Oryzias latipes: one gene and its partner. The protein of the gene in region 1 purifies or fractionates together with the protein of each later gene. This does not show direct contact. Links are inferred from orthologs where the notes say so. Each region holds a gene or a part of one and is shown on either strand. Other genes may lie near its edges. The genes, in order: eapp and prpf6.

Region 1 (4,494 bases):
CAAGTGTCTCGTTGTCTTTAAAAGCAGCTTTCAGAGTCTTCTTCATGAGTTTTTGAGCAGCCTTCAAATCTTCCATTTTTTGCAGACTCACAGAGATGTCTTCAACATGTGAGCCTGAAACGGTGATTTGCTGCAGATTTTCCTCAGTCAAACCTTTGATGTCGCACATTTCTGCTACGATGCTGGAAAAGTCACTGGGTGGATGTATGTTCATAACTTTAATTATGAAAGGTGATCAAATAGATTTCCTCAGGCGAGGTAAAGTTAGAGGAGCGATCACTGCATCAGTCTGGATCTGGATGTTTTGCCCCATTTGATATCTAGGGGGACCTAGAGGAGCACAACATAACAGTAAAGTCTTTTTGCCCTGACTTTAAATTAACACCAAAAACACCAAAAGAGTGTCTCCATAAAAAATAACATTTATTTACAAATTAATAAATACCGATCGACAATAACTAAAAGGTGAAGCAAAAAGGCTTCAGGGTGAACCAAACCCAAAATAACAAACAAAACCCCACCTGACTGAGATCTGAAATCTTACCTGTGACAAAACAATAACCTCCGTGGAGACAGGTTGCAGCAAAGCTCCCTTCTGGCAGGCTGGGGGTCCACATGCTGCTTGTAAAGGCTGCCTCCATCAGCTTGGGTCCAAAAGGAAGCCACACCCTTTCCAGCACCAAAGTAATCAGACAGACACACAAAAACCCACAAAACACAGAAGTCCCACTATGATACAAAAAAGACAGAACAAAAAGAACAAAACCGAATACGGCCACAGCCATAACACTGGAGGTCCAACAGGATCTTTGCCCTCTCATTCTCTACCACTTCAGAGGTGTTTCCCATTTTGACTTTATGGTTTCCAGTTCATATTCTGCACACATGTTCCTGTATATTATTCCAGCCACTTGATTGTGGCGCTCCATGTATGCTTTCCCTGCCAGTATCTTACACCCTGCAGTTATGTGCTGGATTGTTTCAGGCGCCTCTTTGCACAGCCTACACCTTGGGTCTTGTCTGGTGTGGTAGATCTGAGCCTCTATTGCTCTGGTACTCAGGGCTTGTTCCTGAGCTGCCAGGATGAGCGCTTATGGCTGAATAATCTTTTCACCTCTATTGTCCTTTTCAAGTTGCATGGGTTATCCTTAAACTAATCTTGAAAAACTTTTTATTTAATGCTTTTTGAAGTCTATAGTTATCATTATATTTTGGGGATACATAAAAATATATAATGTTTGAAAATTTTCTTAATTATTTTCATGTTATACCTACTGTTAAATCCAAACAATAATTAATTTCTTCTTTTTTATTAATTTTACTTTTCTAATCTTTTAAATTTAGCTTCAGCATTTTAACCTGACCGATTTTACTATTAAATTGTGGCTTTAGCAATAAATAAATTTATTTTTATTTGTTTCTTTTGTTTTATATTCCACCTACTTTTATTTTTTAGTTCTGAAATGAATTTCCTTTTAGATAGTTGAAGTAAAAATGATTTTAAAATGTTTCTCCACAAGAGGGCGGTAACGAGTTTTCCAAGTGCTTTTACCACCATAGAAGAAGAACCGATGCCGAAGAAGAAGACATACGTCAGACTGGACAGAGTGTAGACCAGTTTCGGGATAAATCTTTCCCGTTGTTTTGTCTTCTGAGAAAGTTTAAAATTGTTAAAATGAGCAAGTTTAACGGACCGGTGGAAAGTGAGGCTTATGAAATCGATGAGCCAAGCGACGAAGAACGCGCTTCGAGCAGGTATGATGTAAACAGACGGTTAGCTTCATGCTAGCAGCACGAGGCTAACAACAGCTGAAAGCAACAAAAACGGATAAAAACATTACATGTTTATGATTTGGTTTTTAATGATGTTTTTGATTTTAAAGGTAGAATATATGCAGGATAAACCAGTTCCTAGACGTTTAATTTTAAAGTTTGAATCAGGTTTTAGACCATGATAAAAGAGACGCAATATGTCGCATTTTGGCGCTGTGTTTTGCTTTGCTTCATGATCGTCATCATGATGAAGGTTTCCAAAAGTCCAGTTTTGAACAGAAACGCCTGTCTTCAGCTCCGAGGACGAGCTGGACGTGCTGCTGAACGGGACGCCGGACCAGAAGAAGAAGCTGATCCGGGAGTACCTGACCGGGGAGAGCGAGTCCTCCAGCGGGGATGAGTTTGAGAAGGAGATGGAGGCAGAGCTGAGCTCCACCCTCAGGACCATGGAAGGAAGCTGGGCCCCTGCAGCCGGTAACCCGTAACACGCACAGACACACACAGGGCCCTTCCAAACACAGAAACACCAAGCTTTTGTACAAAAGAGAGCTGCTTGTTGTTTTGAACCACTTTACCACATTGGAGCCACCAGCCCCAACCTCAGCCGCCTCCCAGCATCATCATCAGCAGCAGCAGCAGCAGCATAACTGTCCGTCTCTCCTTTCAAAACCATCTCATTCTGCTTCTAGAGCCTGATCTGGGGGGTATTCCAGAAAGCAGGTTATGCTAGTTACCACGGTAAGTTTGAGGCTAAGGAAGTTGATACCCTCAGCTTTCTGTTTTAGAAATGGAGGTATGCTTCAGGGTAGGTCAAGTTGCCATAGTAACTCATGCTCTGAACATAACCTGGTCTGGAGCAGGTTTAGTTGAAGCTTAGTTTGTTTTCAGAGAGGTGAAGCAGCATGGCGTGTCCATTTGAAGATGATTTAGTGGATGAAGAAGCTCAGATAATACTTTTTCCACCATTGTTCTCCACGCGTTTCCATGGTTACTCCGTAAATCGGCGATCTATTGAGAATGTCTTTATGTACCTGCTGTGCACGAGCATTAACCCAGGGTTACCAAGTCGAGCGCAATTACGCCAACTCATACCCGGTCTTTTGGAACCGACATACCCAGAGTAAGCGATTTCAGGCGGATTTCAGCCAGAGTTCAGGGTTAAAGTCAGGCTAGTTTAAACATGCTTCCTGGAACACCCCACAGGTCTTCTGATGTTTCCATTCCTCCATTCAGTGCAGCTTTAAAAGCTGTTCTTCTCTTTAGAAGCTGCAGACTTTAAGGTCTGAGCTGTAATGAACAGTCAGATCAGTGACCAGCATGGGAGGATTTGTAGATCCAGACAGGTTTCATGCAAAACTCAAAAACAATAGTTTTGACCTGATACCACTCATGTTTGGCTTCTTTACTTTGTTTTAATTAATAAATCATACAAACATTAGAAAAAAGATATATTTTAGAAATACTGTTCAATTTAAAATAGAAAAATGCTCTTTTAATACAATGTACTTGCTATAGTAGAAAGTCAAGTCAAACCAGCCGGAGTCCACAACCTCTCATCCACCAGAACCTTCAAATCCTCCACAATTCCAGGAGAAATTGAATGATTAGTTTGTGTTAAATAAAAGTCCCAAAACAAACCAATAGTTTGTAAATTTTGAATGTTTTTCTGCAAAGGCAGCTCATCAGCTGTTCTCTGGAGGGGTTGGTCTGCTTCTGTATTAATCTGACTGCAGACGAAGGTTTCAGGAGGGATTGCATGTGAAGGTTTCCTCTCTCCTGCAGCAGAAACTGGAGGAGGCAGCGAGGTTGTCGGTTCCTCCAACCCTCAGATGTACGACAGCGTTTACTTTGACTCTGATTCAGAGGAGGAGGACACAGCTGGTAAGACGCACACTGACGCGGCGTGAGCACGGGCATGCTAGGTTCACACCGCCCACGGGAATCCGCGTCTACGCCACTACTTCCAACGAGTCCAAGTCTATGTAAACGCTTGTAAATGCGCATTTCCGGCTTCTTCGGTCAAAACTCTTTTGTTCGTGCATCTCTGCGCGAGTCTTGATGTCTGTTTTTGTACAAAACCTGCACCCACTGAACGCACTTTGAAAGTTAAACCAGTTGAACTTTGACCAATCAGAGAGTCAGATTTGGTAGTGACGCATGCGTAGCATCCTTTTTAATTCACCAAATGGGCTAACTGGTTGAAAGGTGATCAAGAAGGAGAAATTCAAAATGTGCAGTTTGTGCCCTGCCAGAACTACATGACACACCAAGTCTTTCATAAACCGGAATCGAGCCGTGAAAGAAAACGCCTGGAGATTTGCACCGCTTTGAATTTTCCTCCCAAGCCTCCTCCAACTGGAGGTGGTGGACGTGTTGGCGCCCGTCCACTGTGAACACCATATGACAACGCATGTCCAAGAATGTGTGACACGTCTGGTGTGAACGTAATTGGGAGTGGGAATTGGACTAGGAATATTAATGTTAGCGGTTGACCGTTGTACCACCATGCCAGAAATTCTGTTCTAGTACATACATAGAATAATTCTCAGGGTTTGAATGCACGTCATGAAATGACAGAGAAAGGCGTTTGTCCACAGACGAACCTTCACGCCGTGTCTTTGCTCCTGTCTGGTCTTTGACCTTTGACCTCCCTCTTTGCGTCTCCAGGCAGCTCTTCGGCTCGCAGGCGGAAGCGGCGCCTCATTCCCAGCAACGACGAGC
Region 2 (3,041 bases), on another chromosome or scaffold:
GGTGAATGTCACTGTGGATTGTGCATCGTTAAAGTAACAGGAATATTTATTGAGGCTAAAGAGCCGCCGGAGATTTCAGACATCCAGAGTTCATGTCATGAATCCTTTGTCAGGGTTGTTCAACACATCCCAGGCTCCTCATCAGTTTCTCTGTTGATGTTTTTAAAAGCTGCCAGTAGAAACCGTTATTTCAGTAGTTTTTGTTCATAAATGTTAATAGTTTTTTGTATTTATTTAATCATGCCTGAATGTATTTACAGTTAGATAAAACATATTCTTTAGTGTTTTTCCATTCATGTTGGCGACGTGACAGTGTTATGCCACATATCATGGCACCTCTACCTCCATTCTTTACTGTTTGAGACTCCCTGTTGCTCAGTTCTAAGTTTGTTTTCAGCTGCATTTCTTTGCTGTATCAAATTTTTATTTCTCACATTATTTTCTGCCACCTTATCAGTCACAGTTGTTCCTCCGTCTGAATGTGTGCTGCAGGATGCTGAAGAGTGTGATAAAGCGGGCAGCGTGGCCACTTGTCAGGCTGTGATAAGGGCAGTCATCGGCATTGGCATTGAAGAGGAGGACCGTAAACACACATGGATGGAGGATGCTGACAGTGTAAGTTGGTTGAATTTGGAGCACAAGACGAGTCGGATCACTGCACAATGCACTGCTCAATTATCTGGCCAATTACATTATGTGATTTTATTTTTTTAATGGAGTAATTAAAGGCCTGTGGTTTTTGTGCTCCAGTGTGTGGCTCATGGAGCTCTGGAGTGTGCCAGAGCCATCTATGCCCATGCCCTTCAAGTGTTCCCCAGTAAGAAAAGTGTCTGGCTCAGAGCTGCCTACTTTGAGAAAAACCACGGGACCAGGTCAGTCTTTTTTTTTTTCAAACATATTTTATCATCCATGAAGTCGTGCTTTATTATCTTATTCTCCTTGCTTCATTTCCATTAATTGCATTCGATTCTATCTCTGTCACTTTTTGTTTTCTAACTTTTCATGGTGTGCCTCAGGGAGTCTTTGGAGGCCCTGCTGCAGAGAGCCGTAGCTCACTGTCCCAAAGCTGAGGTCCTGTGGCTGATGGGTGCCAAGTCCAAGTGGCTGGCTGGTGATGTGCCAGCAGCTCGAAGCATCCTCGCTCTGGCCTTTCAGGTGGCGATGAACTCCTGCAAACTCTGGACACATTATCATAATGATTATAAATTAGCTTTTAATGCAGACCAGTCCTTTGTTATTGTTTTCTTTTTAGGCCAACCCAAACAGTGAAGAGATCTGGCTTGCTGCTGTAAAACTGGAGTCTGAAAACAACGAGTATGAGAGAGCCCGCCGACTGTTGGCCAAGGCTCGCAGCAGTGCACCAACAGCCAGGGTGAGCGCCTGTGTTTGTTTATGCTCATTTCTCTTCCCTTATTAGGACCGTTGTGGTTACAACCATTCTTTTGGGAGGCGCTGGTCCTCCTGGGAATCAAAGTTTAGCTCTAAAGAGGAAAAACGTCATGTCTGCCATTAAAAATGGGGCCAAAATATCAGTAGTTTTGAAGCTGTACCTATAGAATTAGGTTTGAATTCAGACTTTGGAAAAATAAATGGAAGTCCTAATAAGGATATTGGAGTTTTAAAACTTTTTCTCCCAGACTTCTCCTAATACAAGCATTTAAATGGAGACTTCCCTAACTTTCTGATTTGCCTCCCAATATGATTGAACAGTTTATGATTAAATTAGCTCATAGTATAGTTATAATAAACCACATTTTTCACAAGATTGTCTGACAAGAGTCATGCCAGATTTGGCTATAATGTTGTGTTGTTTCCTGTCAGAAACCCGTTGTTCAATCATGATCTAAAAGAAGGTTGTCTCAGTCTTCTTTACTAATTCTGTTGAGGCCAGCAGTGTCAGTTAGTCATCTCCACTCACTTTGACAGGTGCTTTCAGAAAAGCCTGTCACCTGTCACCGTTGATCTTTATCGTGCTCCAATCCCGCCTCATATCGCAATTGTGTGCTGAGAGATGCCAACCTAAGAGAATCTACTCTGCTGTGGGCTGTGCTGATCCTGCTGTCAGACTGTTGAGGAAGCTGTTGATTTTTCAGGCTACAATGATAGAAAGTGGCATTGAATGGCTCACTTCTCAAGGCTGAAAAAAAGATAAATCAGAGTCCAAAATATAAAAAAACAGCCCAGACGTAACATCAACATCTGAAGAGACTCGAAAAATTTCCAGTTGAATATTTTATCCTGTACTTGTGTTGCCAATCACAGAAAAAAAAACATTTGATGGGACACATTTTAGGGTCTGTTGGTTCAGATACGCGTCTGATTATAGATGCTGAAATCCTTATTTTATTCCTTTTTGGGTAAAAGAGTAAAAGGTTTTATTGTTTTTGAATTGTTCATGTTTAATGTACTTGTTAAGTCTAAAATGTATATTAATTTATGTTTAGTGACCTATGTTCTTTATTTGGTAAAGTGAGTTTAAACTCCCGACTGCTTTTATTTTTATTTTTTTATAACAAAGCTCAGAAGTATTTTGCACTAATATAAATTAGCTTAATTGCAGCCATTGTTGTCGTTTTTTTGTGTATAGTGAAGAGTGTAGTAATCTTGTATGTTGGGACTGTAGCAGAAGTGTAAACTATTGTTTTATGGCTTTGTAACAAAGTCCAGACTTGAAATCTCTGACAGCCGGTATAATTCTGAATAAGGTCACATCCAGGCTTGCTGTGTAAAAAACACATTTGAACTTTTTCTTTTTTTAAATTTCAGGTCTTCATGAAATCTGTGAAGCTGGAGTGGGTGTTGGGAAACATAGAAGCTGCTCAGGATCTGTGCACGGAGGCGCTGAAACATTACGAGGACTTCCCCAAGCTTTGGATGATGCGAGGTCAGATTGAGGAGCAGTGTGAGAACATGGACAAGGCTAGAGAGGCGTATAACCAAGGGGTGAGGGGAAAAAAAAACAGACCAAACCTTAGGTGGATGAGCTCTTTAGGTGATAATTATCTTTTCTGTTTCCATAGTTAAAAAAGTGTCCACACTCA

What was found.
Region 2: the proteins of eapp (region 1) and prpf6 purify together in Homo sapiens (affinity purification with mass spectrometry; 3 studies listed by BioGRID and IntAct, with this or other methods). This does not show direct contact. The link is inferred for Oryzias latipes from reciprocal best matches to the Homo sapiens genes EAPP and PRPF6.

Annotation. Positions count from the first base shown.
Region 1 is NC_019880.2:24,339,171-24,343,664, forward strand, and holds the start of eapp (E2F-associated phosphoprotein), read left to right. Parts: upstream 1-1,545; 5' UTR 1,546-1,675; coding exon 1,676-1,755; intron 1,756-2,068; coding exon 2,069-2,247; intron 2,248-3,555; coding exon 3,556-3,654; intron 3,655-4,440; coding exon 4,441-4,494. UniProt on the Homo sapiens protein: May play an important role in the fine-tuning of both major E2F1 activities, the regulation of the cell-cycle and the induction of apoptosis. Promotes S-phase entry, and inhibits p14(ARP) expression.
Region 2 is NC_019865.2:15,457,704-15,460,744, reverse strand, and holds part of prpf6 (pre-mRNA-processing factor 6), read left to right. Parts: intron 1-492; coding exon 493-615; intron 616-750; coding exon 751-872; intron 873-1,016; coding exon 1,017-1,155; intron 1,156-1,252; coding exon 1,253-1,372; intron 1,373-2,766; coding exon 2,767-2,943; intron 2,944-3,020; coding exon 3,021-3,041. UniProt on the Homo sapiens protein: Involved in pre-mRNA splicing as component of the U4/U6-U5 tri-snRNP complex, one of the building blocks of the spliceosome.